Linked DNA regions of Styela clava. The protein of the gene in region 1 purifies or fractionates together with the protein of each later gene. This does not show direct contact. Links are inferred from orthologs where the notes say so. Each region holds a gene or a part of one and is shown in the gene's direction. Other genes may lie near its edges. The genes, in order: armadillo repeat-containing protein 8-like, zinc finger MYND domain-containing protein 19-like, ubiquitin-conjugating enzyme E2 H-like and E3 ubiquitin-protein transferase MAEA-like.

Region 1 (7,838 bases):
TAACCATGAATGTGCTAGTATCAATCGCATTTATGGTTTTTATGATGAATGTAAACGAAGGTACAACATAAAGCTTTGGAAAACGTTCACGGATTGTTTTAACTGCTTACCACTTGCTGCCATCATAGATGAAAAAATATTTTGCTGTCACGGTGGTCTCTCACCCGATTTGCAATCGATGGAACAAATTCGTCGCATTATGAGACCGACAGACGTGCCAGATCAAGGTTTACTCTGTGATCTGCTATGGTCCGACCCTGACAAAGAAGTTGCTGGATGGGGGGAAAATGACAGGGGTGTTTCATTCACTTTTGGTGCGGAGGTTGTCGCGAAGTTTCTTCACAAACAGGATCTTGATTTGATTTGTCGAGCTCATCAAGTTGTGGAAGATGGTTACGAGTTCTTTGCAAAAAGGCAACTTGTCACATTATTCAGTGCTCCCAACTACTGTGGAGAATTTGATAATGCAGGTGCAATGATGAGTGTCGACGAAACTTTGATGTGTTCGTTCCAAATCCTCAAACCAGCTGATAAGAAAAAGTTCCCTTATGGAGGCATCAATTCAGGACGACCTGTAACACCACCGAGAGCTTCAGCAGGAAAAGGAAAAGGAGGAAAAGCAGGAAAATAATGTGCTACCTAAACCAAATTTTTTTTTTGTATAATATTATCGATTTCTCCGTTTTTAGTAATGCACAGACTATGTTACCATCATCGAGCTGATTTGGACTTCTGTTACCACTGTCGGCCACAAATGATCAACGGGACTCAATTGGATATAAGACAGTGACTCGTTGGTCAAATAAACTGACAGCTCTGTCTTTGTGTTAACTGTTCATCAAGCAGATACACAAAGTTCACTTCTAAAGCTATTCGAATTGGCACACTCATCTGTACAGAATTGCTGTTCAAGGTGTCAATAATGAGTGGTTTACTTTGTTTCATTTTTTGTACTAGTTTGTTTCAGATCACTTTTTTGTTCCCTTCTTCCTAGCAGCTTAGTCTTTGCACTGTCTGGCATTGAGTTAATTGATAAGTCCAAATTACAATCTTCCATACATTTGGTAGCAATTGTACACGTTTGTAAAATGGAATGCCAATACTATTCAAAAACAGAACTTGTAGACCAATTATGCATATGCTCGTGAGACCTAACCATTCGGCAAATTTTACGAATAAAAAGGTTTCAAACTATATCAAGATGAAAATATCTTCATGATTCTGACGTAGATCTCAGAAATGATTTTTTAACTCGATTTCATCATAATGTATTCAACGTCAGTTACTAAAATATTTATAGGAATATATTAAAATCTGTATCCATTTTCCTTTTGATCCTCTTTGCCCTTTTTAAGCAAATGCAGCCATTATGGTTTTATTTTATGTTCATATCCCTGGCATCTAATTTTTAGGCAGTTCAGTTGAATTCTATTTGAATTTTCAAGTATCGTAATTACATAATTATCTTTCGAAATTGAATATCCATCAATATTACTTACTAAAAAGTGGTAAATTTATCTGTTGATCAATTTTCACTTATTTCAGCATCTACAAACTATAGTTGTCATCATTTCTGTTATTTGTTGACTCGTTTTTGAAATATTGTCGAAATGTACAGCCCTTTAGTCTAGTAAAAAAATGGTATTTCATGACACATTGACTCAATATTGTCATTACTGTTTCCACCTTTCATAACATGGCAAATTTTTTAAATCAAAGTTGATTTTCCCTCTTAATTGGCGTGTTTTGATCTTTCTGGTAGACCCGAAGACTTTATACATAATTCATGGAACCTACAGCAGACATGATCGTATTTTATGCAATTTGTTTCTGGGATTGTATCAAAATTAACGATTCCGAGAATTGTAAAATTGAATGTTCAAACAGATTATCAAGTTAACATGTTTTTATCAAGTTGTTGGAGTTAATCTATTGAATGAATTATTCTATATTGATGCATGGAAAGAGGTAACGAGATAGGATGTGTATTATATGTGATATATTTTATAGCACATTTCTTTATGTGACATGTGTTTAATTGACTGTTAATTGCTCCTATCATCGCTTCATCATCATTCATATACTGTCTTTTATGGGGATCTAGTTATGTGCTGTTGATCCATGCCGCTGGCCAGAAATTGACTACAGTTTGGCATATGTAATTATACTAACACATAAATTATCTATCAAAGTTTTTCAGTGATTTGATTAGTGATGTTCCAAAAAGTTTTTATTTGAATGATTTGGCGCTGAAATTAATATACTATTCATTACAGTAAAAAATGATTATTTATCGATGAATTAAAGTCATTAGTGGTTATTTTCTGGCTGGTGCACACTTGATTCAACTGCGTCATCGTACGTAGTTTATAGCGAGCTTGGTTTGATCTTCTTACGCATTGTTAAAGTGCTTTTATTTAATTTGGCCAGTCATTGTTGTTGCATTTTAATTTCTCTCACAAGTTAAAAGATTCAAAACTTTACATATCCCGTTGGGAAATCAGGTATCAAATCATATCCATTAAAGCATGAAAATTTTTGGATAATAATATGAAAAAAAATGAAATTAAAACTTTTGAAAAATAAAATATTTTTGGGGCGCTCCCAGTGAAATTTTATATTTAAAATGATATATCTAAAATTAAAATGAATTTTTGCACATCAACATCCTTTTAATACAATACTCATTCTGTAATTGATATTGTAATCTAGTAAATGATACATGCTTTGTTGAATATGATTTGATATCTAATTTCTTTATAGGATAGCAGTACCCATGATTTGTCTTGTTCATTAAACTTCATTGTATTTGTGTATTATTTAGATTTTATCTATGTTAATAAGGTCGTAATAGCAGCAATAATGGAGTAATGATGGATTAGTTGGAAAAAGGAAAAATACTTACGAACAATGGAGATTTAATGAATCTCAATCTGCGGAAATATAAAAGTAGCGAGTCTGATTGCAAAAACGAATATTGAGGAATACGAAGCTAAGATGGCTGGTGGGGGAGACTTATCAAGATTTGAGAAGGTGACGAGAAAATTTGAGTACCTTGATCACACTGCAGATGTACAAATTCACTCATGGGGAGAGGATTTGTCAGAGGCTTTTGAACAAGCTGCGATGGGAATGTTCAACTACATGACGGACATCGATGGTGTTTGTCCAGAATCACACAGAGAAATAGAAGTCGAAGGAGAGGATTTAGAATCACTTTTGTACAAGTTTTTAGACGAATTCTTATTTATGATGTCTTGTGTACCGTATTATATTCCCAGGGAAGTAAAAATAACGGAGTTTGACGAGAAAGAATTTAAAATAAAAGCTGTCGGATATGGAGAGGAATTCGACGAAAAAAGACATGGCGGACAAGGTACTGAAATCAAAGCAATTACATACAGTGCAATGGAGATCTTAACAACACCCGGCTCTGCTCAAACCTTTGTTATTGTTGATATATAGTTTTTTGAAAGAAGAATTGTTTAGCTGTTATACTTGATTTATGAGATATATTAGCAATTCTCAACCTTTTTTTAGAACTGCGGAACCCCTTTTATAACTTTTGAAACCATACTGGGGATTGGAATATCATTACTCTTCCTTTACTTTTATGTGAATCACTCTTCAAAATTAGTTAAATTTGTCCGTTTTCAAAACATAAAATAATTCTATACAAATGTTTGTTTGGTCAGTCTACCTCATTCACAATTTTTTTTCGTTTGTTAAAAAATTGAAAATCACAAAAAATTATGATTTTAATAATACACAATTTGATACATAATTTTGTGCATGCGTGATCATTCGCTTTCTCCTTTCTTACTATTGAGCTGACTAGGTGGTGGCAATACCTACAAAAAATCAATGAAAAATTGGGTACCACTGTATTTAACTATCCTTCTCCCATGTATTACTTTAATTGTTTGGATCAATACATTCAAGGTTGAGCGCTCAATTACCATATGCCCTTTCATTCCCCGGAGATACCAATCAGACAATCTTGACTAAATAGGTTCTAATGAGTAGTGTATCAGTTCAATATCTTTGGCCTATAATACTTTTTCCTCGTGCAAAAGTTACAAGGAAAAATAGAATCCCATAATTGGTTATGGATTCTTCTTGTTAAAAAAAACAAATTCTATACTATGCAAATTAGTGATCAATACGAACATGATTTGAAACTGTAACCTTCAGCTAAATTCCAAAATTAGAATTGTACTTGAATATCTGCCAGCTATGACGTCCATGGTCATATCAAGTTGCATCAATAGTACGTGTGTCTATTATAAACACAAGAACTGACATAACTCTCTTGTGTAAGTTCATGGTACCTGGCAATAGCATGGAAATATTTTTAGTACTGTTGACGTCAAGCTCTTGAATGTAATTATCAACATACATTGTGTCATAGCCTGGAATATAATTTATTAGTTCATTTTTATTTATGAATAAATTTTTTATGACATGACTATGTGGTATAAGATTTGGGTAAATTTGTACATATTTCCAACTTTAATTGTATTGCAATAGTGTCAACAATGGTCCAAGAAGATCTACGTTTATTGTGTTGAAGCGTCTGCCCCGAACCTTGATGTACTTTTAAAACTATTGTCTGTTATTTTGACCCTTTTTAAAATTACTTCTATCAAGTTTTAAGATATTGATGAAGTTTTTTTTTATACGACTTAGTGCACATCTTTATTCATGCCTTTTATTCTCTCATTGTATTTGATGTTCATAGATTGTATGAAATGTGAACTAATTTTTTGTGATTTTTATTTCAATGGCGACAGGCGAAGGAAGCAGTTGTTAGATAAGTTGATTATTTTGAAAAATGAGCATGGAAGTTGACCAACATGACATGAGCGAGGTTTTCCCGGTTGCGGTTCAAGGTGTGCTCTCCGAGATAACAACAATGTATCAGCCCTACGTTGGAAAAATATTTGATACTGATGAGAGTATAGTATTTGAAGGCATAAAAGAAATCAAAAACTTAGTTATTGGAAACAAAAAGCAAAAAACGAATTTTATTGTACTAGGAGTCGTTCCCAGATTGGTCTTCTTAATTGAGGACAGTAACACTTCGATGGAATTGAAAATACAATCTGCAATTGTACTTGGCAGTCTTGCAAAAGGAGTTGATGCAAATTTAAAGCATTTATTAGATCACCGTGTTTTGGAAACTCTATGTAGCCATCTTACTACAAACGATTTGCAATTGTACGAAGCCACTGTTAGATGTTTACGGACTATCATAACTTCTACTGAAAGAACTACTGAATTGTTATACATCAACCCTTCTGAAATAATTCCAAAATTGTTAGAAAATATCAATCGTTCCAGTTGTACACAAGAATGTACATGCGAGATTATTGCTCATTCTTGTATTGCACAAAACCATAAAGATCTTTTGATCAAACTTGATATTATAAATTTACTTGGTGATTTATTGGTTTCACCCATTCGAAGGGTTAAGGTGAAGGCCTTGGATACGCTAGCTGCTCTATGTTACAAAAACAAAGAAGCCTGTAAGCAATGTGCCATGTCAAAAATAAAGGACAAACCTCTTATGGAAATTGTGATAAGACTACTTAATGAAAGTCAACCTGCGGATATTCAAATGCGTGCTGCAAAATGTCTGACTTTCATGTTTCGAATGCGGGTTTTAACTGCAGATTCATGGGATCATGTTATTGTCAGAAAAGTGCTGACACGTTTGGTTAGAATGTGTGATATGGAATCGGACCCTGATCAGCGCATTTGCAGTGCCGAAACTCTTGCGTATTTGATCGAAGTTGATCCACCTTTGCAAAGACTTGCTTATATCTGTGAACAGTTTCCTCACAAATTAGAAGCTTATTTTAAATATCCTTCAGTAAGCTTAACAAAGAACGAACACAATATAAAATTCTTCAAGCACGCTTTAAAACATGGAAAACAGTTACACAGAGCAGGATTTTTAGCGTACGCCTCACTTCTTTCAAATGACGAAGATATCCGAAAACAAGTTGCCACAGAGCTGCTGGTAAAACACATTTCAGAATCTCTAATCGATCCTTGTGCATTAGTTCGCTCGGCTGCATTAAAATGCCTTTTAAGTTTATCTCGCTCCGTACATCTACTTCGTACAACTTTTCAGGACGTAGGTATTTGGAAATCATTATTAAAATTGATGCAGGACTTTGCACAAGATATTAATGAAACAAAGATCATCAGCAGTGTATTGTGCAACCTAATGCTTGACATTTCACCCTGCAAAATGGACTTGAAAGCAGCTGGATTGATAAAAACCATAACTGAATGGTTAAATGTGGAGGATTTAAGACTGAACGCTATTTGGATCTTTATGAATATGTCGTTCCATGCTGAATTAGCATTAAAATTAGAGATACTTGAAGCGATCAGCTTTGAACAGATATTGCAATTGTTACAAGACAGTGATCGTGATGTTATTATACGTACTTTGGGACTCCTGCGTAACATACTCAGCTCGGATCAAGATAAAATAATGCCATTATATGGCGTAAATATCATACAAGCTTGTAAACACGTTTTAACTGCATTCTCTGATGCTGGAACTGGCCATCCTGGCTTACATTCAGAGTACGAGTGCATACGTGCCCATATAGTGTGCATACTCGCAGGTGTGGCGGGTGGGGATGGAGGGTCAACAGTAAAGACCTTTCTCGAGAATGAAACGGAACTTTTGCAGCAAGTTGTTAGCTATTTGATGCATTTTGACCTTAATCTGCAAATGGCTTCAGTATCATTTATATACAATTTTGTTAGAATGAATACAGGCTGTGTGGAACGTCAGGCCGTAATGATAGAGTTGGGAGCAGTGAACAGCTTACAACATCTACAAACCACTAACGATACTGTTCTTTATGATAAAGTGGATAAAGTACTTCAGCAGTTTCAGAATACAAAATAATTTTTGGTAACAAATGTACTGTTTCTTTTATTATAAATCAACTGATTGACCAGAGTCTTGACAATCAGCTATTGATATATAGAAGGCTTATAAGTTTTTGAAGTACCGGTAACTTAACTGCAATCTTTTTGAAAACAGCCTATGACATGGTTTGAGTTCAACAGACTAGTCCCTTGACGGCTGGTCATTGACGTTTGAACAAAAAATTTTTATGCACGAATGAAAGTTTCAAACCTTTTTGATATATTTTTTCTTACTTTGGAATTGTTGTTCTTTCATTATAACAAAATAGAAATGGCACACAAGTTTCTGGTATTCAAGTTCATGACAGTACAGTTTGTTACTTAGTACACAAAACTAGTTCTTGACAAGGCAAATAGCTTCGATAAAATGAAGTATACCATTATTTATATATACCAAATTATCGATATCTATTTCCCTATAATCATACCTAGATGGAAAATTTAAGTATATTTATCTTTTATTATAATATTAAATCTCTAAAAGTACTAAAGCAGTGGTGTCGCTTATGTCATTCCATTGACTAGGTATAAGGTTTATTCAATGGAAGAAGTTTTTCATTGATAATCATCCTTGCTTCGGTTATTTATTATCTGGTGGTAAACTCAGCACATACATGGTAAGTCCTTGTGGTATTCACAGAGTGAGTTTTATTTCTAGAATGCGTAATACTTTTCGCTTGGTAATTCCCTCCAATTATAATGTGCTGTATTCACAGGGCTGATGCAATCATCTGTTATTAAGGTGAACTAACAAAGGATATACTCTAATACCAGGAAGTTTAGTCAAATAAGATTGCAAGAATGATTATTGATTTGCGGTGAGACAGGTTCATACAGATTCCAATAACATGTCTAAGTAGATTTGTGTGACATTATTGATT
Region 2 (8,332 bases), on another chromosome or scaffold:
ACATTAAACAACATGATAGGCAACTCTGACGTCACTCCATAAGACTATAGGCGAAAGATTGTATTTCATGATACGCTCCAATGCACATATTTCTCGTCGCCTTTCGCGTCCGTTTTCCACTCGCTTTTGCTACTCGGCGTCTTTTTTACGTGTAGTACTTGCCTTTTTGCGCCTGTAACGAAACAAAATAATCTCTATATCTAAGAAGTTTTGCTCACTTGGAAAGCTGGAATGGCAGGCAAGCTGTAAAGAGCAATTCTGGACATCACAGACGTTTTTTTTTATCAGAGAAGATTACAAACGCGATAGCCGAAAGATTTGTTTGGAACATTTTGCAGATAATGACAAAATTCAAAGTTAGTAATTTTAATGTTTGCGCTTAATCATTGAAATTTCATTTGAAGAGGGTGTCATACAAAACTGTGCTGTGATACAATTCCATAACACAAAGTTTGCACCTATCGAACTTGCTTTTGTAGGTGAATTTATTAGACATATTACATATTCAGTTAATCGTAGGTAACATTGCTGGTACATAATGCATCGTAGATAGGTTTGTTTAAATTCAGGAATTTAGCTCATAGCCCACTAATTAATATTATCTTCTATGCAGGAGGTTGCAGGGCTGAATTCAACTTGCAGCCTTACCGATCACCTGACGATGCTCATTTAATTTGACTCGAGCAAGTCTTCTTGAAATGCTTGTGTGGATGGAAACTACCTATATTTTTTGCCTTCCTCCGATTTTAGACAAATTTATGCTCAGGGATTTCGCATATAATTCTCATTGATTGTTGGATGTTTATAATTCCTATTGATTGTGAATTCTGATTATAACAAAGAGTTAAAAAAATTTTTATCTAATTTACTGGCACCTTTTTCTTGTCAATACTCCAAGCTGAGGTAATAAACAAGAAAATACATTTATGTCATCTGGAAGCAAAATATGCACACTAATTAATAGTTTGGCACATTGAGATGATACATCATGACAGAAAATACAAGTTAAAGATATGTATGACCATCACATGGTAATTAAAATAAAATAAAATTAATAGGGGCTGTGGAGTATGAAAAGTTCAAGACAAAGAAAAGAACAAATGTTCATAGCTCATGAACTCTCAATTTTGCCTCCATTGCTTTGTGAAGGCCAATATATTTCGAGTGGCTGAATTGGTTTACCTTTATGATAGCAACGATTTTGTATTTAATATAGCGAGATTATTTCAATTTAATTGAAGTGATATGATTTCCCAAAGCAATGCTTGAATCGTCTAGAATAGATCAGTGGTGTCAAACTCATGGGTTTTCGAGAGCCGCATTGCATTTTGGAAATTGTAAAAAGAGCCGCAAACAGTTTTTGATAATGTATACTTAAAAGATATTTTTAAGATAGTTTTAGTTTGTGACATATATTGTGATGCAACTAAACAGTTGGATTAAGTTTTATTATTTTCTTCAATTTCAAATGCAATTACATATTAATATTTGCATTCCACTATTATTGCAACATTTGCAAGTTACTGTATTTATTATAAAAAATCCTAAAATTCTATGTACAACCATCAAAATCATTTTTGAACAAGCTTTGAATAAGGAAAGAATAATACATACACTAAAAATAACTTAATCTAAATATATGAACCTAAAATTAACAAAAATACTACAGTATAAACTCAATGTTTTAATAATTACATTTGTCCTGACGTTTGGCATCGTTTTTGTGTCACCAGCATACTAAGGCCAGGCTGAAATGATTTTATAGTACCAACTCTAACTTACGAGGCCACATGATCATGGGTTAATCTGTGCAAATGTTTAATTAATTCCGGTAATGCAAAAAAGTTACTTTTATCATTTCATGTATAGATCAGTAAAAAAAAAAATGACAGATTTTTTCGACAAGACATTTCGCACCACATTGCGTGACATAGGATTGCTTGAATTATTATTGATATTGATTTTTAGTAACTAAGTCGTTGTATAATTATATTAATATACAAACACATGGAAATTTTCTGTTCGAAGTTGGTCTTCGAATTTTTCATATTGACTGCTGAGCTTATTCTGTTTTTTCATTGTATTGATGGAAATATGACAAATTAAACAATGTGCTTCAGAATTTTGTGAAAAGCAGAAATGTTGCAACTCCCATTTTCTTCGAAAATGCCACCTTCTTCATGTACTTTGCGTTTAATTTAATCACTCAAGTGTTTTATTCAAGTATTCGTTTGCTAGCTTGGTGTGTATATTCCTAATTGGGTCAAAATGTGGACAAAAAAAATTAATATTCCAAAACTACTTTCAGTAAATTGTTTTCTGTGTGAATATTCAATTTCACTTTAAAAGGTTTGAAAAATCTATTACATTAAGATAAAAAAAAACTTCCAAAATACTATTACAATTATTGTTAAGCATTTGAGGGCCGCACTGGAAGTTCTTTGGGGCCGCGAGTTTGAGATCCCTGGTCTAGATTGAAGTTGTCCAAAAAATATATGTTAGTATTTTATCATGAATGATGATTATACCCCTTCCGGAATTTCTTCTATAGTACTACCAAAAGTTGATGAACTAAATATAACACAGGTGCAGTGAGTTACCCGTAATCCTCATTTTCCAAAGCTGTTTTAAGTATGTCTGGCGTGTTTTGTGCCTTTTTATAAATAAGACCGCTTATGCAATATTACGCTTTGGAATTTTTAGTTATTTTCCTTAAGCCCTGCAGGATGTGAGGGCCATACACAACTCTACCGGAGGGTCAAATGTCTTTGCATGCCTCCATAAGTTGTTTTTCTATTGCAAACATTTATGGAGTACTCTAATTATATTTCTTGGAATCACACTGTCACTGATATGTCGCCAGACTTCTGATATCTCCCCTTCTGCTATAGTTGTCCTGTGAATAAATAATAGAAAATTGAGATTAGACGAATAGTTGAAAGTTTTGCTTTATGTCGGCTTAATTTCTTGATTGATATACTTACTATTTCTGCTATTGCATCTTGTGCTGCAGGAGTCTCACAATGCTTAGACAGGTTTGTCCACAACTTTCACATCTGAAGAAAGAGAGGAGATTTATTAATTTTCGTTAAGAATAAATAAAGCAGTCTATATGATTCAGAATGGAAAAGCTAATAAATCCAATATCTCATGTTTTATGTAAAAAATATTTTACTGAGTTTGGTATATAAACCAACTAATAAAAGGGTTTAGTCAGAAAATTACAAGCATTCGTGGCTCCAAATACTTGAGAAATCAGACTACGACTTCAATACGCAAATAAAAGTGAATGCGTAATAGTATGTTACAATGAGCAGCAATCAACAATGAGTATATATCCTCACTGATTAAAAAAATCTAACTGGAGGTGCATGAACTATTTGAAACCATAAGGTGTAAGTAAATATGTAATTTCGGCAAATGGGCAACTACGTACCGTACTGAATTAATACCTTCGTAGTATTTGACAAAGGCTGGCTTTCCCACATGTACTTAACAGTGCGATGCCCGGGTGTGATATACAACAATAGTATTTACCTTACCTTTTTTCGATTTCTTTTTACCTTAACTTTCCAAAATATCATTAAAATCGACAACAACTGTCAAAGCAGGCACGAACACCATTCGTGCTACGCCTTGAAAGCAGCACACATCCGCTCGTTTTCGTCTCGTCAAGTATGTGCATTGGAGCGTGCTATCGAATACGATCTTCGGACAAAAATGCCGGAGTTGCGCATCATGTTGTTTAATGTCATTGGTGTTCCTTCATTCACAGTCAGAAATTTGTTATCTTATGCGTCGCTATGATTGCATATCAACGCATTTTTTTGATAAAAAAGAGTGAACTAAAATGTAGCACAAATTTAAAAACGGGATATCACAGGCATGAATACACATGCTTGGAATCACCACAGTGTGTACAACGTAATTTTTTCGAGGTAATCTTGTCGTGGGCTACCAAGCGTGACTTTGTTAATCAAGTAAGATTCTGATCCACTCGATCCTCGTCAGTAGCGGTAGTTCAGGGGAAGCGTAGAGATATGGGCAAACATGAGGCCGAGTTCGAACCCCACAAGGTAGAGTTGTAGAGATACGCCAACGGGATAGACGGAGTTTCAGGGGTGGACCAGCAAGCAAAGCAGGCAGTTGAGGGGCAACGAACAAGGTGAACAGAAGCTTCAGGTATGGGCCAGCAGGCAAGGCACGCGGCCGAGGGCATCTACCGGGGTAGGCTGAATCTCAGTGATGAACCAGCAGGCAAGGCATGGCAGACTGAGGAGCCTCAGAGATGGACTAGGCCCAGTGAGAGGAGCCAGGGTTGGGTCAGCAGAAATAGAGGAAGCCAAGAGCAAGCGCGGAGAGAGGGGAGGAGCAGCAAGAGAGAAGAAGGGGAGCAAGAGAGAAGAAGGAAAGTGTAAGCAGGGGCGAAAATGGTTATGCCACGCCTACTAGAACGGCGTTTAGTGCCTAAATGGTAAAACGGCTTTCCTCTTCCCCGGGATAGGCTAAATATGTAAATCATATCCATCATTCCCTTGAGTGAATGAATCCATAGTTTGAAAAAAGGCCTTCTCGTTATCTTGAGAATATAAGGTTTTTTCCATGTAAAATATATGTGATCTCGGTCGATTCTATTTCAAATTAATTACAAATGTACGTAAACATCAGAACTGGAAAAACCACTTTAAAATTGAATTTGTGCTACATTCTTAATGAAACTGGAAATGGTTTGGCAAGGGCAAATGTCATTCGGTTTTGAATTTTCCTATAATTTTATTCTTCAGGATGGCAATTGTGTTGTTATTGCGGAATTTCTCTCTGGTATACTTCTTGAATCACAATCAGGTTTGGCGCACAGGGCAAAGCACAAAAAATACCCTACATTGAAGTCAGGGTGGCGATAGAAGTTTCTGAGTATCTGCACACATACTGTTTCCTCTCTCGTCCGAACGCCTACAATCTAGCTCACCTAACAAGGGTTTCCTGCTGTCATAAAAATAACGAAAATAAATTAGAGTAAAGATTCAATCACATTAATGCGAGGGGTGGTTGAATTAGGATTAATACGTCATACTGTGCGGCTATCTCATTAGAGTAAATAACAGAAATATTGTCGGTATAAACATGTATAACTTCAAAATATTGTGTTTTTGGCCAACAAAAATGTAGGATTGGTATACCAGATTTTAAGTGAAGGATATAAGGGCGTACTTCAGAAAAGATTGACGAGCACTGCCCTGGCCTAGAGTGCACAGAAGCTTTTGTAGGTGGCGCCAAAGAGTTCGCGGCAGCTGTTCGTCGATTCTGTTCGGTTGTTTCGCGCTGAATCGGGTTGCCTGAATATCTTTCCACGAATGGCTAATGTCAAGCTGGGAATTGTGAGACTTGGAAGAGTTGCCGGAAAGGTGAGTCTTATGTATATGGATGATATTGTTTATAAAGTGTATAGCCCCAACATTTTTACGCCAAAGAGTGTTTTTTATTCCATATTTTTGTAGGAAAAGCACTGTTGTGATTAGGGCCTTTTTGAACCTACTGGTACCGATAGTTTTCTAAAACTAGGCCGATACCGATGTTTTCTCACCTACAAATATGGCTACAAGTAACATATTGTGTTTTTCTTGCAAAAGAATTGAAATGTTGAACTCATGCAATGTGTGCATGGCAAGAAAGAACACATATTGTAAGGGCAGGAAGCTTATGAATCTCAATAGCTCCAGTTCAACAGTCTCAGATGTAGTTGAGCAGAGTTTTTCTGCATTGGCTCCATTGCTTTTCTGCATTGGCTCCAACCATACTTGCTCTTGTGTTTTGCTTTGAAATGGCTCTACAAATTATACCCATCTTTTTTTTTTAAATCGGCGAAACCTTTCGACTTAATAATGATAAGCATATCTAACAAATTACGCCACACGAAGTATTGCTATACTTTGCTCTGACCGCTAGAACCAGCCATCTATTGCATATCAATACAAGAAGTTAAATCGCGACTTGAACGACCAAAGCGCAAGGGAAATCCAAGGCCGTCGTTGCGGCGAGAAAACAAAAGTAATAACTGTTCGATTCTGGGTGCTCGTTTGCGCGTTTTGGATGGCAGTTCGTATAGTTTGAAGGGCTCTATTATGTCACTGTGACGTCGTAATGATGTAATTCTTGGATGGTGTAGTCAGGTGGGGGTTAGGATTGAAACATGAATACATATGTTAGGTACGAAACTACATGAGACCCCATTCTATTCTATCAAAGTGTATTTATTGATTGGGACCCACCGAGTGTTTATGTTACACAAGTTTGACGCACGAACGATACCCATGCGTGTCTTTGTCTTTTTTATTTTGAATAAAAGTTTCTGTGTTGAATGAGGGTGAACTGACACATGTATTAAACCTTTATAAAAGTTTTGCCAGTTTCCCATATTTCCCCAATCTTTTGTGTGTTCATTGTTTGGGTTTTGTGTATGATTTTTTTGCGGGAAAATCAAAATATACTTATATACCATTCTGTTTACTAATTCAGTATTTCAATATTCAAGTTCAGTACCACCGCGTTTCCCCGAAAATAAGACCTGCGGTACCCTGAAAATAAGATCTGGCCCGAATTTTAAAATGATTTTAATATAAGGCCTCCCCTTAAAATAAGACCTGGTCAATATCGCGAAATTTTTTCTGACTATGGGTATAGCATGAAATCTCGGGTCTAGTGTAGTTTCGTACCGAAAGTACTGTAAAAGTGCCTAACTTCGGACAGTTTCTAATTTAGGACAAAAATTTTAAACGACCATATCTTGTCTAAAAGGCGTCGTATCTTGCAAATTCCAATTATTATAGGTAGCGCTGTTATATATACATCTATTGTTAATTCTTTTATTGTTGCATGATTATTTTTTTGGTCAGAAAACGGGAATTTTGCCAAAAAATGACTGTCTGGTATTCAACGGCGCAGAGCGTCGCTCATACTTATTAAGCTATCATCGTCAAAATACCATCATTCGGTAGAGGGCGATAGCAAAGTATATACATTATCAGAGTGATCGCAAGATGTTGTAGAAGATTTGAATAAAACCTCTGTTCTGAATTGAAAATTCCGTAAAATTATTGAGATTCCAAGCTGCGTCAAAAGTAACGTCAATCTCATGTAGATCATTTTTTGCTCACTTCTGACACGACGCCACACTGGTCGTGGAAATGAATTTTGACGCCCGACATTGACGCCAAATTAGCATTTTCCGTTTAGATAAAGACGGCGTTCCAGTGTAATATTTTTGTATTTTGTTCGGTCCATGTGTGAATATATGCCAAAATCAACTTAATGAGAATACGTGTCTTACTCGACTTCAAAAATCGAACATATAAAAAAACTAGAAAAATTCCAGTCTATATGTATACTGACTTAACAATTATTTTATGAAATCGAAATGGCAGTTATTGAATACAGCCTGGGTGAATTTTATTCACTCGAAGTGAAAAATTCATTTAATTTCAAACAAAAATCCCGCCACCTATCTCAATGTTAATTAACAAGAGTAAGTTGAAGATTAAACTTTACAATTGGGTTCGCCGTATATTTGATATCGATTTATCAGCGTAACATCAACAAAGCTATCCGTCGAGAATGATAATATTTCAAAGACTTACAATACAAGCCTGTTACAATATTTCATTATAAATTAAAACGGTTTACATCAGATATGTAGTTGGTTAATGTGGTATTATATTGATCTGAATTGACGAAAATAACGAACGAAAGATGTAAACATTATAAGACGATGAAAGTTTCAAATAATGCGTTGTCGTCGCGGCGTTGATTTTATGTTACGACGTCAATCGAGCGTCTTATCTTCACGCAACGACGTGACTAGGTCACCCGCATCGGAAGCCTCTTTCTCTCTGTGCGTTGCAGTTTTGCATTGAGGAAAATGGCTATTCGAAGTTAGGGCTGTGAAGGATAACGGTCAGATGGCAAGAAAAGTAGAATATTTCAATAGTAAAAACCCAAACCCAAAACCCAAAATTTGCAGGGAATATTAATTACTGCACGAATGTTTTACATAGCAATTTTGGCGTCGTTTGGACAATAAATGTTATATTGTACAGTTATTGATGAAAATATGGTAATTTTGTCCGAAGTTAGGCGCTTTCACAGTACTTCTAGGGGTTGTAGCATGATAATTTATGCGTATGTTAATTTTAACCCCCACCTGACTTCGTCATCCAATAATTATCAAACTATCATCTAATACGTTCGGACGATCACTCGACATCGAGCAATCTATTTCTCTCGTTTCTATCAGAAAGTTCTTTATCATAGGTGCAAATGCCATTTCGCGCGGCCG
Region 3 (8,279 bases), about 4.6 Mb from region 1:
AGAACAATCCTCAAACGATTGGTGAACTCAAGGCTGCGATTGCAGGAATAAAATGAAGAAATACTCAAAGAAGAGGGATTGACAATGTTGCAAAAAGAATGCAATTGCCGAGTAGGGCATTTGGAACATATTCAAGAAACAACATAATTTTTGTGCAAAACGTCCTAGATTTTCCGAGACTTTTGGGTACAAACATACGCAAGCAGAAGTTGAAGTTTAGACAAGATTAAATAATTCACTCCATTTTCGTATAAGTAATCGAGAAAATGATGGTCTCGTTTTTTGAGGACCACGCTGTATAATACTGTTTTTAATATAATTCGGTTAAATATGCTGCTTATGTCACTGTATTCGATATTTTAAACTTACGCAACACAAATGATAAACCGACTTTAAACAATGTCAGACACAACATGATATAACAACAGGCTAAATTTTTGCCTTTTGCCAATTTATGAATTACATATGTAGCCTTATTATTCAATGACCCAAGAAATGAAAATGAACCAGTTGAGTCGCAACATGGAGATGGTCCTATATGGCGCACGTCAGTTCTATCAGATACTCAGCTCTCACATTTTGCTCTTAACAAAACTAAAATTATAACATAAGGGTGTTGTACTTACACTACCGCTTCAAAGCATCATAGAACCCGCTAGTAAAATGAAGCTGTTATTCAAAACAGTAAAACGAAACGTGCAGTGCATGGTGGATGAAGCGTATGCTGTATGCGCCATGTATTATTGATTCATTGTGAAACAATACAGATTTAAAAAAATCATAATACCTATTCTACGTTAAGCGAGAAATTTCCAGCACCGAAATCACAAGTAAACTAGTTTGAACCAAAACATAGGAGTAAATGGCATGAAATATCATACTACTTGTGAGTTCCCGTTTTGATGTCAGCGCCCCTAATTGCCCAAATCGCCATAAGCGCCCCCCAAGTTAGGGAAAACGCACACAAGGGGACGTTTCCGCCCACTTTGGGAGCCGCTGGTTTATATTACCATAAAGGTGCTCCCGAAGTATTCCTACCAAGATGGCGCATAACATGAACATTGTGTTATAAAATAATTGTTTATGTTACCAAAAAGGTGCTCCCGAAGTATTTGCATCAAGATAGCGCACAATCTGAACATTGTATATGCACCATGTCAGGGTTCAGGATGTGCGTAATCTTGGTACGAATACTTCTAGAGCGACATTATATCTGAACAATAAAAAAAAACTTTATGTCTCAAAACGAGCTTCGGCCACGATTTTGCCGGACTAAGAGTATTGAAGTACTTGACAACAGATTAGAATATTACTTGTTACCCCCGAATACTGATTAAAATTTACATTCAAAATCGGAAAAAATATTGCCAAATCATTCATCTCAAATACTCGACCCAAATTTGCGTTTGATAGAAAGTAAACTCAAATACTCCTTTAAATAAGAACAAAGACTAATATATGCCTCCAAAGTTTATTGTCTCCAAATTTAATCAAGGAGTGTCGCATGATAGATGTTATAGAAATATTTTATATAGAGTTTTTATATAGAGCGTGCACCCTTAAAAACTGGTACCTAAACGTCGTTGGATTTTCCAGTATGACTGTACCCAGCCAGGCCAGCCTGCTGTCACTGTGCCAAGGGGATATTCACTTTGGTCGTTGCTATGCTGTTCGCTGCACATGGTTACCCCTGCCGTACTTGACAGTGTCCGGAGTCTCTTTTTTGTAACAAATTTGGTTTTTGGAGTTTAATATTTGATATATTAATTTATATATATATTGTTCGTCTTATTTCTATTAAACTTGTATCAAAGTTAGACTCTTATCACAGGTGTCGCTGCTCGATAACCAACTTAAAGTTTATGTTCACTGTGAGTGCATTTTCATTTGGATGAAAAATAAACTACTGACTGACTGACTAAACAATAAAAAGACATGGTTTGAAAGATAGGATTGGTAATCTGATTTGAGGAGAAATAACAATAAAAAGAACTCCCAGAGGTCCAGAAGAGAATAAATTTGTCACTTCACATGCCTTGGTATAAAACGTAAAAAATGAACGGGTGTGAAAGCGTGCACCTTTTAATACTTGGGATGAATTTTGATTTTGAGCAAATTTCCGTCGCTACGGACGCTATCTAAGTGTTTATTTTTCATTCATTTTTTTCATTCATTTTTCATTCATTCATTTATATTTCATTTTGTTGATATTTGATGGACCTATGATTTTACACAATTTGTTTTAGAATGGTCGATTCACTATAGTGAAAACAAGTCGGTACTCGTTAAGGAGAATAGTGGGTCAAAACATTTTTATCTGTAAGCATAAACTTTGTAACAAAAGTTGATAGACATTTGAATTAATTTCGAAACGCTTTAAGCAGTCATTAACAACACGACAACAAAGTAAAATATCAAAAAATGCTTCAACAAGATGAGAGTGAGACCCGTAGCTGTTTTGCCCATATTAATTGAAAATGTATATTTAATGAAACATATGTAATGATTAATTATTTCAATTCATGTTGCTTGTCCCCGAAGTCATTTTTTATTATTATTACCGGTTCGCCGAGGTAGAAAGATTAGAAACCTATGGTACTGGGCAAAACTCCACTACCTTTCAATGTTTACTATTTCTAGTTTCTAGATACATATTACCTGTATCGTACATCGGAAAGAGTTGATAACCAAGCTTCAAGGCAGACAAGACACTCAATTAGCACTCGAACAAAAGCGAACCAAACATTTTGTACTTGATAAAGTCTCGCAGATGAATTGGTGGTATGATTTATCAATGGTAGGCGTCTGAACCTTTTTTATTCTAGAAGTGACAGTCAATGTTTGATTCAGCATCATTCAATTTGACTTCTACCTTTCGGGTGATCAACTTATATTTCTAACTTCTTGTTTCCCATTACCTTCACCATAATTTTGAATCAGTTTGAATTTTTGTGGTCTCTTCTCCAGTCGTGCACACTTGGCACTGGCATGTGCATATTGGACTTCTTGTCGGTTGTGTTGGCGAATATAGTGTTTCCATCGTAACCATACTCATATCTAAATTGTAAGAGTTCTTACTCTGTTAGGCGAACTTGACAGCACTAATGACAAGTATTCCAGATGGTGGTAATCATTATAGCAGTTATGTAGAAAAACGTCTGCAATGCTCGCGAGAAAAAAAGATTATGTCAGTTAGGCTCTTACGCTACTGAAAAAATTATATAACCTGTAGCCCACATTTTCAGAAAAAATTGTATAAGCAACATAGTTTTTAACTAGGCTACATAACATTGCATCGTTTCATGTCATGATGTGTTCAAATAAATTTATTTTGAGATTTCCAAAACAATAATATAATATGTTTTGATATGCACCGAACTAAAATGAGTCATCCTTATTCAGGTGTAGAATTTCTTACCCATATTTTTATGATCTACGTTTTTGATCTAAAATGTTTGTCTCTGCGGACATCAAGACTGCATTACCCGCGGCTACCCTTCCACAGTAAAATTATATGATTAGCTCTTTTTTAATATTGTATGTTATGGTTTTTTACTGGCTGGATAAAATAAACTTGACTTGGCTTGACAGAACCTTAACAAGGGCATGGTCAACTCTCATATGTTGTTATTATTATTCAATATATTCATATATCTCCATAGTAGTCGGTACAGGCCATTTTCCAGTTTGATTAGCAACATTTGAGGTTCCAACACGTTGCACACCTTTGACGTCACTGCAACGCTACATCATCAGCTGATTTCTATGACCCCGCGACCTCACCAAAACAATAATATTCTACTTCGTTCTCGATGTCCTTTGTTTGTGAACGTTGTTGCGTCCGTTCGCGTTGTTCGTATCGGTATCAAATGTTTTGTCGGTATGTTGTTCAGTAGAGAAATGCAACATCTAGTTGTTAACACCATTATTATAGTTGTTGATTTGTAAATACAGTGATTGCGATTGCGAATCGTCTTCGGTAGGACAACAAGAAAAGGGCGTTGATGAAAAATCACAACAATAAAAAAAATCATTCCCACCCTGCTGCAGAGTCTGGGTGTCAGCTGTTTCGTGCAATACTGTCAATGATGAATATTCTGACACCTATTTGAATACATGGATATAACATTATTGGTACATACCTATGCAATTTACAGATTTATGTAATTTTGTTCATGAACTGTCAGACAACAGACAATGCTGGAAATATGAATACAGGAATATGGCACCATACCGTACTCCTTGTATTCCTATACTCTGCCATAATTCTAATATTATTGTAGTCAAAAAAGTTCTGTATATGAAAATGGTGATAAAGTGCTGTAGTGAGAGCAAAGTCAGAAAGTTGCTATGTTCCTGTATTTTCATATGTCAGTACTGCAGTAAGTTCAGAAGTTGTAAACGAAAATGAATGATTTTTGAAATACAAGAATATAACTTGTGAAAACAGAGAGAAAGCTTTAAGCATGAAAGCATCTTGCATTTTTTATTTGCTATTGACAGTTATGGATTTGCGAGCCATGGAACAAGTCATACTGTCATAAGATTCTGTAGTTCAATGTTTCAATTCCAGATTTTTTGGCATAAATGATTCAGAAAGCTGTTGCTGATCAGGAATTGCATGATGCACTCTGCAATGATTGAGAACCCCCTTCATTTACATAACAACATAAAGAGATCTAAACATGTGGCTCTGTTATAACAGTATAAAGTCATACTGTTATATCTGTATAACTGCATTGGCCAAATCCACATATGGATATTTACACCATGACGACAATGCCTTATAGTTGAGTTTATTTGAAGCCCTGGTTTGGTGCTATTCATATTCAAACAATTATTCATTGATTTCGTATATACTGGAACTGGTACATTCTGTTTTGCCGATATATTTCAAAAAATTTGAAATAATTTTATTTTAATACTTATCTAATAAATCAAAAAAACCTTTAGATTTTCACAGGTATTTGACAACATATTCAGCAAACATTGTCTTGTTGCTAATAAAATATTCTCATTGTCTTGACAACAATTTGTGAAAAAAAGTGCATTGTATAAAGAGACTGAAGAACTTGCAATTGAGAAAAGAAAATCTTTGTACCACTCAATTGATTGACGGCAGCCATGTCTTCACCAAGCCCTGGCAAACGTCGTATGGACACTGATGTTATAAAACTGTATCCTTTTATTTGAAATAATTTGAAAATTTTTTGCATTATTTTATTGTGTTCCGTGTTTTATTTGAAGGTTATACATTTCATTCCAGCATTGAATTTGATAATAAAAATATTTCCAATTGATCAATTGATTTGGCTAATAAACCAAGTTCAGCATAGCACGAAATGTATTGCATTCTATTATTTGTTTAGGCTTTGTTGGATTTTCATTTTTTAATTTAGTTCAGTCGAATTCACCTGAAATTAATTCAGCATCTTTTTGTCGGAAGTGACTGTAAACAAATATGCATGTAGATGTAATCTTTCATGCTGTAAAAATAGAGTGCCAATTAGCAACTACTAACTTATGATACCAAGCAACAATATACGTAGCACTAGTGGATGCTGGCATCGCATGGTATGGCCCTTACAGCTTCATTACGAGCAAACTCTACACTTCAACAAAAGTCGGTGTCCTCTGTACATGGGGCTAGTCTGATTATGATTTAAAAAATACTTGTAATCATTGAGTATGGGTTTTAATCTAAATCATCCAAGGCCAAATGGAGAATTTATTAACAATTTAATATATCCTAATTGAGACTTAATGTTATTAATGTGCGGTGAACAAAAGCTAGATAATCTTTAAACTGATTTTAATCTTCTATGAGTCTCATTAATCGTTAAAAAAAATTTTCAAAATACAGAAAAGGTGATCTAAAATTATGTTTAATATATCCCCATATTCAATTAAAAAAACTAGTTTGAAATATTTTATGAAATTCCCTTTTTTATACTGATTGAAAACATGTACCGGTAACCTATTTCAAATTTAATCACATATTTATTTTGTTTTTAGCCTTTGTATATGGTTCTGCTCTTACATGTTTAGTTTGAACAAATGGAGCAGATGTTTTAATAACTATTATTTACGACTTGATAAACTGGTCCAAAGTGACTTTAATTACATGTATTTATATTGACTCTCGTTTGATTCATGGTTGTTATTAGATAGTAGATGTTATGACCCTCACCTTGTCATATGATCAGAATTTACCACTAAGAAGAATATTGATTTTTTGAACATTAACCAATCATCAGTTATTCTTTCAATGATAGATCAATATATCAGAGAAATTTTACCTGGGCAATAATGATATAATATTACAAGACAAAATATGATAGACCTAATAATTTTTTTAGAAATACTGAGTTCTCAGATATTTTTTTTCAGTTACAAAAAAGTCATAATATTATGAAGTAATTTTCACATACAACTTTGCTGTATAAGTTATAAAAACAAAAAAAATATCATTAAACTTGAATATCAAACAATTCCAAAAAGGCATGTAAATATTTCCAATTTCAAGAATTTGACAAATAGGCATTGCTGGACATAATTAATCCCTGATTAGAACCAGAGGAAACGTTGCTTGACCACATGACCTAGGTCTTTATACCATTTAAATTTCTATTTTACTTGTCTTGATCTTAAATACCATTTATTAAAATAATATATTAAGCATGTTATGATTAATAAAAGCTGAGATCAATAAAGAGTAACAGCTGTTATACAGGCGTGGTAATTAATCTTTCTTTGTCGCCCTTGTTAAATTTGATTATAAAAATCTTGTCACATGGTTGTATTTAGTCTAGGGATGGCAAACATGTTTTAGCTATTTTGAAGTCGAACATTGCAGAAAGGTTCTAAATGGAACTGGAATGGTTTTCAGTAGTTTATTTGACACTCATAATTATACCCAATTTAAAAAAATATATATATAAATTATTAAATGATTTCAACATAGCTTTATGATGTCACAATTATCCAGTCATTTCAAAACATGAATTTTATATTCACAACTGAAAGAAAATCCCTGTTTTTTTTAAAACAATAACGCTTAAGAGATGAGCTGTATAGTAGAACTCTGTTGAGATGAAGTAAATATCCTATTCTATTAAACTACACAATGTATTGAATGGTTAAAATAATAAATATTGAAGCAAATAATATTTACCATGAGCAGTTTAGTTCAATGAAAAATATTAGATGGACATATACCATTTCTTTTTGTTGGTAAAATAACATTCCATGACATATTGATCCTCTTTATATGAGCATCATTTCCTTAACTACATGAAACCAATTAACAGCATTGAAAGCAACCATGAAGTGACTGTACTGGGAGGACTTAATGAGTTTGTGGTGAAATTTTGTGGCCCACCTGGAAGTATGTTTATTATTATTCCATAACTAGAGCTTATGTAGTTACTTTGATAAACACGAGCCTTAGATTAACTGGACCTTGGTAGGATATTTCTTTCAATGCCCCAGGCTTGGTTTATAGGAATACTGATTATATTTGGCACAAAACTAGATTTCATTCTGATTCTAACAGTGTAGGCTTTGAATATATAATGAATCTGAGTGACAAAGAGTAGTCATAATCAATATAATCAGGACTAAGAAAAAAAAGCTGTAAATTTACTGTTTTTGTTGGGTAAACAATCAAAAATATCCACATCTGGGTAGCGGATTGTTTTCATATCACTTCCCAATCTGGGTATGAACTTGGTGGCAAATTAGAGAAAGCACTCTTAAAATTTCTATCTTTCATTTTCCAGCTCCATATGAAGGTGGAATATGGAAAGTTCGAGTTGATCTACCTGAAAAATATCCATTCAAGTCACCTTCAATAGGTAATAAGAACATAAGACTATGTTGAGAAAACTTTTCAAAAGAGTCTTCAAAAGAGGATGTAAATTGAAAACTATAGCATTAAATACATATCGTCCTGTTTTTTCATCTGACTTTTCACACAGTTTTGAGTTTTTATACTGTTTATTTTGATTTCTAAAATTCATTAAATAAGTGATTACCTTGCGAAAATGTGTATATCGGAACGGTTCGATGAACAAAAATATTAAGTTTTGTGATCAATGTGTTATACCGTACTACGCATAGTTCAGTTGAATTTGTTATTACGATAAGATATCATTTTATCCCCGGGAACAGGAAAGCTGATAAGGCAGCCCAATTAATGCCATCCTCATCCGTTACCAGTCCATGTCTGGTATGGGATTAGTTAGCTAGGCATTTGTTTCAGATGCATGGACTTGATT
Region 4 (7,870 bases), about 4.0 Mb from region 1:
TAGGAGTTTAAGTCACCTTATGGCAATCCACATGAAGGTTAATAATACAATTACTGGACATCTATCCTTGTTCTTGTTGTTAATTCAAAAGTTATGCACAGCTGTGAGATTCCCAGTTACAGAAAAAATATTGTTGAAGAAGACTAATTAATTTTGTCTGCATGTGTAAATTAAATTCATTGGGTAAAAATTCTGTCACTGTTATAACATCAGAATTGAATCAGATTCTGAATATTTGGGAGTTGAATGCAAGTTTTTTCAGGCTCTATACCAGAGGTGGGTAAGGTTTTTGAACTAGGGGCCAAATATTTTGCCCGCCTATACTGGCGGGCCATGCAAGTGTGACGTAAAAACATTGTATGAAAACTATTTAGTGTTACAATAGCAAAACTGGAAAACAATAAGCCTCGTGCCAAAACTAAATTTAATCGCAATTTTGATAAATTCCTTGAGCTATTTTTTTAGCTAAAACATCAAATTTTAGTTTGGTTGAGGAAGCATCAAGCGGGCCAGATTGAATTACCCAACTGGCCGTAGTTTGCCCATGTCAGCTCTATACTATAGCTATGGTTATAAAGCGCGATGGCCAACAGGTTGAGGCGTTGGACTTACCGTAATCAACTTTGTATCGTAGGTTGCATTTCTCAGCTTCAACGAATGCCTTGCTTGGACATCGCGTAAGGCAGCAGTTCCCAAACTATTTATTCGTACTGTGCCATATTATCTGGGGGAAAAGCTTACGGCACACTTATACGAAAAAAATGCTGCTTTTAAATAAAACTTGATCGTGTTATGTGTACTTTTACGTTGGTCTCTCAAATCCGGAAAAAGAGAGAAGAGTCGTTTATGTTGGCACGCACCGGAGCTGCTAACTCGCAACAACGAAACAGCTGATTAACACCCTTCTATCGGCGCCGCAAATTGCTCTTATGTTATTATGTTGACTAAGGTCTATCTTTGTCGAGGTACCGGCACCGGTGTATCACTCAGCATCAGTACCGGTACCGGTACCGGTACGATCGTTATGACATTATAGCATTATGAGTAAAAAAACAAATTTGTCTATTAACCGCCGATCAGAAATTTACGTTTGTATTGATACATATACGGTAGGATAGGATTTAGGATAGGATTTACATATTTATCCCGGGGGAGAGGAAAGCCGATAAGACGGCTTATTCATATGGCGAACCACGGCCTCTCGTCCGGTTACCATTCCAAGTCGGGTATGGGATTAGATTTACTGTATTGTTTGTTTTCGGAAGCATGGACTTGGTGGTGGAGGAAGCCGTAACCGACCAGCGGTTACCGTACGTGAACCACCCAACGACGGCGAGGAGTCCAGCAATCCTCTCGCACATAACCATCCCTGCATGGGATTCGAACCTGCGAACCCACGCAGAGTAGTTAGAGGTGCGGTGGCGAGCGTATTCCTAACGCTTAGCCCGTTGAGCCACACCGCCGCGCCGTAGTGTTTTAGTTGGAAAGAGAGGTTCCGGGAGTGGAGAGAAGAATTTGAGACTGGGATTCAAATCGGGATCGAAGCTACGTCTTAGGGCCGTTACGGTACCGGTATCTAGTCTACTTATCTGGGAATGTGATATCTTCCAGTCTTTAGAAGAAGCTCGTGATAATCATTAAGAAACAAAAGTTGTCTGATGGTCAGACATGATTTTCACAGCTGGATTTTCAAGCGTTCGACAAAAAGAAACGGAATGTTAGTTTAGGATATCAGTCGACATGTCTGCATACTAAAAATTTTGGCTTTGTAAAACTGGTTGAAAAAAGTTGATTTTATGGCCTACCATCATCGGCAAATGCTCAAGAATATAAATTAATAAATGAAAACTTTCTGAATTCTAACCATTTCTGCATTTCCTTAAACAAAAAGCAACGCCCTAAACTAGTTATCGAGTTTCTACATTTGTTTGTTTACTTTTTTGCTTTGTTTATTTACTAAGAATATGAAAAACAGCAGCTAATCCTAATCACTTAGATTTCATTATTAGGATTCGCAACTCGGCACATGCATCGTCACAGGCGGTAACTCTCATTCTACAGTTCTACTTATTTCGCAATACCACTTTTACCCATTAAATTTATATACAACTGTAAAATTAAGCTTAGCCCGTGAATATCACTTTCTCGTGTTCATGAATTTTTTTAAGTTAGATTGTCGTGATGTGTTTTTCCACTTGCAGACTTGTGTGAGTGAATAGGCACAGACGCTGGTTACAACGTTTGCTATAATCCTTCTAGTTTTTGCCCATTTTCCCGGTCTTTCTGTCGCCATTCTCTGTGTATTGTTTTTTTGTGTGCGTTCTGTATTGTAGACGAAAGATCGAAATAAAATTGTATTGTATTGAGTTCCTGTACCGGTACAGCGGTACGGTACCATACAGCCATACTGCTGTACTGGCAGCAGTTTGTCAGTTTATTTTAATATGATCAGGAAAACGGCTTCGAGGTACCCGGTATTGATTCCATTCGTTACATATTGAAATTTAACGAAGCATAATCCAATGTCTTTAAAATTACCGGTAACAAAGTGCAGTCACATGCTGACATGGCTCAGTGCTGCAGTGGTGTGGTGCATTGTGCTGAGCTTTAAGAATACCTGAATACCCTCAGCACCACACCTCTGATTACCCTGTGTGGGTTTGAATCTTTTGTGGGATAAATTATGTGCAAGAGGATTGCTGGACTCCTCGCCGCAGCAGGATGGTTATTAGGATATTTACCTTAATTAGTCATCAATATTTCTAATAGCAAAAAAACTTTCGGTAGTCGAATACCAATTTAGAACGAATTATGTTTGACTGCGGAGGAATCTCTATATATATAAATCAGGGGTACCCAAGCTTTTTTCAGGACGACCCCAAAGACAACTTTCAAGTGTCCAGTGCGACCCCAGGTCAATATATATATTTTTCATGGAACTTTAGAGCTTTTTTCACTGGACTTTTGAGATGTGATGTGATGGTAATAAGTAAAAGAAGCTAAAACCAAACAGTGATGTCACAATAATCACCTACATTTTCTATAGCATAAGCATAGAGCAATGCCTATGGACCTGTTTTACAGTAAGCCATGGTAAAAACTGCTAAATTTAACATGGTTTGTTGTATCTTAGATGTTATGTACATCCATCCTCTACCATAACTCAGCGACCCCACACACCCCATGACCTGTTTGCGACTCTACCTACTTATCACTCCGACCCAATTTGGAGTTGCGACCCCTGGTTTGGGAATCCCTGATATAGATCCACAAATATTCAAGAAAATTTATTCATCACGGCCGGGCAGTATCGATATATATACAAGTATAGATCATAATCATAATTTTAGTCTGATTTTCCTTATTTTAGTTCTATATTGAGTTCGGGGAATTTCTGTGTTAGTCAAATGAATAACCCCACTAGGTTCCAGATGCTTTACACAACTTGATGTGAAGTAGGCGATCAAAATTAGATATCTTCATATTGGTACGTACACTTCTGGAGCACCTAAATGTCTTGTATGTATTTGTATGTTATTTTTTTTAAACAACTCAAGTCAAATGTAAGCGAAATCATAACTCAAAACTTTTTGTGTGGGTTTAAAAGTTTGTATACCATTGAAAAACGCAATGTATTCCCACTTCCCAGACAACACTTCGCCAAGTGATCCAAGGAATAAGAAAAATAAATGACTCACTTTGTAAGTGATTGAATAGTCTTGTTGCACACTGACACAAATTATTTCTGTGATGTTTCGTCTGACCAAGGTCTTGCACATTTAACAATTGTTTTAAAAAAAATATGGTGGTTACATAACGTGAAGTTTTGTCATATTTTATCGCAAACTTATTACTTATATTAGTCAGTAAAATCAATAACAATGTAATAAGTATTGAACTGAATATTCAGAAGCTATATATTGTTTCAGTTTCGAGTTTTGAAAATTATTTGACAGTTTCTAATTGGTCACACATTGTGATAAAAAATTCAATTTGTCATGCTTCCGTTTTTTAAAGTCTCCTTACTTTGTTATGATTTGGTCGCATACTAACTTAGAAATAAAACACACCGTCTCTTTTGTGCTATTGTGTTAGGATTCCCTTTTACTCAACAGAAATGCTTCAATTATTATTTGGCTTGGCGGTAGAGTGCATTGTGCTAATCGTCACGCTTGCTGTCGCATTTTCATTTCAATAACAGTTTCAAATACATTAAAAAAGGAATCCTCATAGATATACAAAATAAAAACTGAAGATGTGACAGAATTCAGAATACTTAACTATTCAGCAGACATCCATTTTGGTTGGGGTAATGCTACAAACTTATATATTCGAAGAAAGATTTCATTTGTTTTTCATGTTTATTCTAAAAAAGATATGAAAGCTCAATCCAGTCACTGTGAATAGCTAGCTAGGTAATAATTTCAGATGTACTGACTTGGATGGTGGAGGAAGTCTTTCAATGTTTTTTTAAAGGCCGTCATTATTTCAGATTATCATAGGCTACTGGCTACCATTTCGTTTTATGAGGCTTGCAAATTGCCTGAGTCACCAGCTATGACCTATTTAATATTGATTAGTCATGGTTGTAACTGGTAAGAGGTGGTCCCATAATCCATTATTAATTCTTAAAAATGATTCATTACAGGCTTACAGCTAGTTTATCTACTATCACTAATTTAACCTATATTATTGCAAATTTATGAAAAAGGAATGACCTCATCCATCGGAATGGACGTTAAAGTACAGGAATATGTCACACTGAAGGTGGGATTGTGTTTTTGTTGCAGTGCTTCCTTCTATGACTCTCTTCTGTTTGTTTATACAGGTTGTTCAGGAAGTCTTGAAAAAAAATTTAAATTTTGAAAGGAATTTATTGAATTTATGTGTAGTTTTTTGGCCCCTATGAGTGTATTAAATTGAGTGAAAGAATTGAATGAACACTGATCAAAATATATAAAAAAAAAACTTGTTAAGATATATTGTAAACCGACCAAATAACAAAATTGTAATTATCTGAATGAGCACCTGGAATGTTTGGATACTAAGTCACTAAGTGCACATATGTGAATCGCTTTGCTAGATTCTTGTCGCTTTGATCCTAATTGAGGAATTCAATTTCAAATTTACAGTACTTGAAGCGGCTCCATACTTTATCTTTTTTTTAATTCTTTTTTTGCTACTTTTGTATGGAACTCTATATTTTATCCTAAATTTTTCGATTTTATTTTAATTAATGTGGAATAGTATTTTTATTCTGTCTGGCTTGGCCACCATCACATCTTATCGTGTTGGTACAGTTGTGGATTAATTAAAGCAAAAAATCTAACATAAACACTGATTAAAATAAACAAACCAGCATGAGACATGTTGTGAACCAACTTCATAACATCTTAAAAGATTAGGTCTGCCTTAGTAATCTTCTCTGAGATGGCTGGCCGCAAGAATCTAATCCTAACGGGCAAGTCTTCCTAATAGCGCATTCATATTAGAATTGATGACCTAGCTTCATATCATAGATTACCCAATTTACCACAATCTTCTTGTTCAAATTTAATGAGCATATAGTTTGATTCCAGGATCAATTATTTGCATCCAGGGATGCGAGTCTGGGATAGTTTACTATCAAACATGAGGCTTGGACCCGGCCCTGCGATAGAAATTTCGACTACTACGGTACTTTGCAATGCCAAAGTTGTCTGACAATTTGCCTTTGGCCCACTTGCTTGATAATTCTAATAAAACTTATATTTTTAAGGTTCCTTATGAAATTCTTAACAAGCGTTTCCGCTCTGCTCAGAAGACGATAGATAGAGAATTCCATGGCGTAGCGGGGGCTCTTACAGATTTAGAAAGATGCATTGAAACAGGGAATGCGACTGCTGGCAATGTTGTTTCGTTACTTGACGGCGTAGTTGAAAAGATTAACAGCATGAAAAGAAAGGTGGGTTGTCATTACAACTACTTTTCAAATATATGAGATTTAATTCAATTTAAAAATATTGACGATTCGATTCTGAAATCATCACATATTTTGAAATGCCCAGCTGTGCCCACAAATGCAAACAATAAGCTCACCTCACTGTAAGAATCCTTTGGTTTTAATGGCACGCCTTACGCTCGAACGTGCCACGCGAACGGTTTTGTAAAAAAAAATATTTATGATATACATTAAAATATCACGTTTATATCAAAATCAGCAGTTTTTTTTAGGACAATATTAAATTGTTTCGATAAATAGATATTCGTTATTATGTATTGTTATTGCATTTTCTTTGTTTTACTGGAGTTAATTTACAATACCGCAATTGTGCGTGGCACGCGACAAGATTATTTTGAAAAATTTGGCACATATCCTCATTTGAGATGTGCACCCCTGGACTATACCATCTGCAGTAGTACAACTATCATTTGATTCAAGAGTCTTGCTACAGAATAACATTTATTTCTTCAGACAAGCATTTCTTAACTATCATGCTTGTCTGAATAAATCTGACTCCAGTCAGACGAAAGGTTACAGAAATACATCTGTGTTAGTGTGCAGCAAGACTTGAATAAAATAATATTAATAATATAATCGCTTTCCACTAAATAGCAAGTATATTTATGAGTTTTCATTAGATCATAGTGTAACTTCTTCAGACAAAACAAGATATACCGAATTACCGAAATTTGTAAAGATAAGAATTGTTGAGCCAAGTTACTATAATGGGAATAATTCGAAAAATGTAGGGTTGGAAGGATTTGTCTCTCTCATCTTGGTTTTATTCCAAAATGGTACTAAATTGACGGAAGTACTTTTTTATTTTCTGTGCTTCAAAACAGGGTTAACAAAACGTGCAGTTTAGACAAGTTTTAAAACATGCTTTTTATATTATTAAAAATTTGAAGCGTGTTATGTGAAGAATATGCTGTTTATATAGAAATAAAGACATCCAAGATAGTGAGCTGTTTTCTCAAAAATTGAAATTTGTGCAATTTGAAAAAGTTTTTTTTTTTTAATCATGAATTAGTGTTTGTGTGTAACTTTGTCATTTTTGTATTTTCTGAATCTTGATTTATAATGGCACATCAGTTTATTAATTTTGTTAATTTGCTGTCAAAAACATTTTAATTGAAATGTGTGCCAACTGGCAATTCACATCTGTGCCCTATCAAATATCATGTCTGTTTGAACAGCTGTTCCTGACTGATGTTTATCATTAGGAATGTGTTCTTCCTGTTGTATGTCAAACAGTTTATGTAAATAAAATGTAAAAGTTTTCGTGATCTCAAAAAAATAATAAATGTATGATTCAAATTAGCATTTCGTGATATTTTAAAATGCAGTTTGTGTTATGGCCATGGGTGTTCAAAAGGAATCTTAGTACTGAAACGCATTCAAAATTACCGTAGTCAAAAAGGTGTCCGAAATATTTCGCCCGATTTCATAGTAATAACAATTGTAATTTTTTTATAAATTTTATGGTATGATCAATGAAAACTACAAGCACAATAAAAACTATTAATAAACAGAGACAAAGAAATTTTTAATTGTCATTATAAAATTGGGTGAAATATTTGGGCACTCCCTTTAATAATATTCTATATCTCTATTTCTCCGAATCAGCAAGCAAATTTCACACAGAGTACATACATCATTAATTATCTATAAATCTCTATTAAAGTAATTTAAGTATTAAATTTTAATCCATTTCTAGACGCATAGCTGTATTTTTTATCATGAGTATTGATTTCTTTGAATGAGGGTGAAATATTTGAACTATTGGTTTTGTGCCCACTTTAACGCTTTTGTCGTGTACAAGGCACCTTGCTTAGTAGCCACCTATCAAACATAAAGCTCACTTATAATAAAAGGACCAGATTTCGT

Evidence for each region.
Region 2: the proteins of armadillo repeat-containing protein 8-like (region 1) and zinc finger MYND domain-containing protein 19-like purify together in Homo sapiens (affinity purification with mass spectrometry; 4 studies listed by BioGRID and IntAct, with this or other methods). This does not show direct contact. The link is inferred for Styela clava from reciprocal best matches to the Homo sapiens genes ARMC8 and ZMYND19.
Region 3: the proteins of armadillo repeat-containing protein 8-like (region 1) and ubiquitin-conjugating enzyme E2 H-like purify together in Homo sapiens (affinity purification with mass spectrometry; 3 studies listed by BioGRID and IntAct, with this or other methods). This does not show direct contact. The link is inferred for Styela clava from reciprocal best matches to the Homo sapiens genes ARMC8 and UBE2H.
Region 4: the proteins of armadillo repeat-containing protein 8-like (region 1) and E3 ubiquitin-protein transferase MAEA-like purify together in Homo sapiens (affinity purification with mass spectrometry; 5 studies listed by BioGRID and IntAct, with this or other methods). This does not show direct contact. The link is inferred for Styela clava from reciprocal best matches to the Homo sapiens genes ARMC8 and MAEA.

The regions. Positions count from the first base shown.
Region 1 is NC_135258.1:9,307,939-9,315,776, forward strand, and holds armadillo repeat-containing protein 8-like, read left to right. Parts: upstream 1-4,834; coding exon 4,835-6,934; 3' UTR 6,935-7,406; downstream 7,407-7,838. Other genes in the region: serine/threonine-protein phosphatase PP1-gamma catalytic subunit B, read left to right, coding at 1-631; protein archease-like, read left to right, coding at 2,998-3,465. UniProt on the Homo sapiens protein: Component of the CTLH E3 ubiquitin-protein ligase complex that selectively accepts ubiquitin from UBE2H and mediates ubiquitination and subsequent proteasomal degradation of the transcription factor HBP1.
Region 2 is NC_135254.1:72,923-81,254, forward strand, and holds the start of zinc finger MYND domain-containing protein 19-like, read left to right. Parts: upstream 1-5,191; 5' UTR 5,192-5,354; coding exon 5,355-5,405; intron 5,406-8,332. UniProt on the Homo sapiens protein: May be involved as a regulatory molecule in GPR24/MCH-R1 signaling.
Region 3 is NC_135258.1:13,914,064-13,922,342, forward strand, and holds the start of ubiquitin-conjugating enzyme E2 H-like, read left to right. Parts: upstream 1-4,953; 5' UTR 4,954-5,124; coding exon 5,125-5,177; intron 5,178-7,310; coding exon 7,311-7,387; intron 7,388-7,781; coding exon 7,782-7,856; intron 7,857-8,279. UniProt on the Homo sapiens protein: Accepts ubiquitin from the E1 complex and catalyzes its covalent attachment to other proteins. E2 ubiquitin conjugating enzyme that transfers ubiquitin to MAEA, a core component of the CTLH E3 ubiquitin-protein ligase complex.
Region 4 is NC_135258.1:5,334,380-5,342,249, forward strand, and holds the start of E3 ubiquitin-protein transferase MAEA-like, read left to right. Parts: upstream 1-4,631; 5' UTR 4,632-4,713; coding exon 4,714-4,767; intron 4,768-5,758; coding exon 5,759-5,944; intron 5,945-7,870.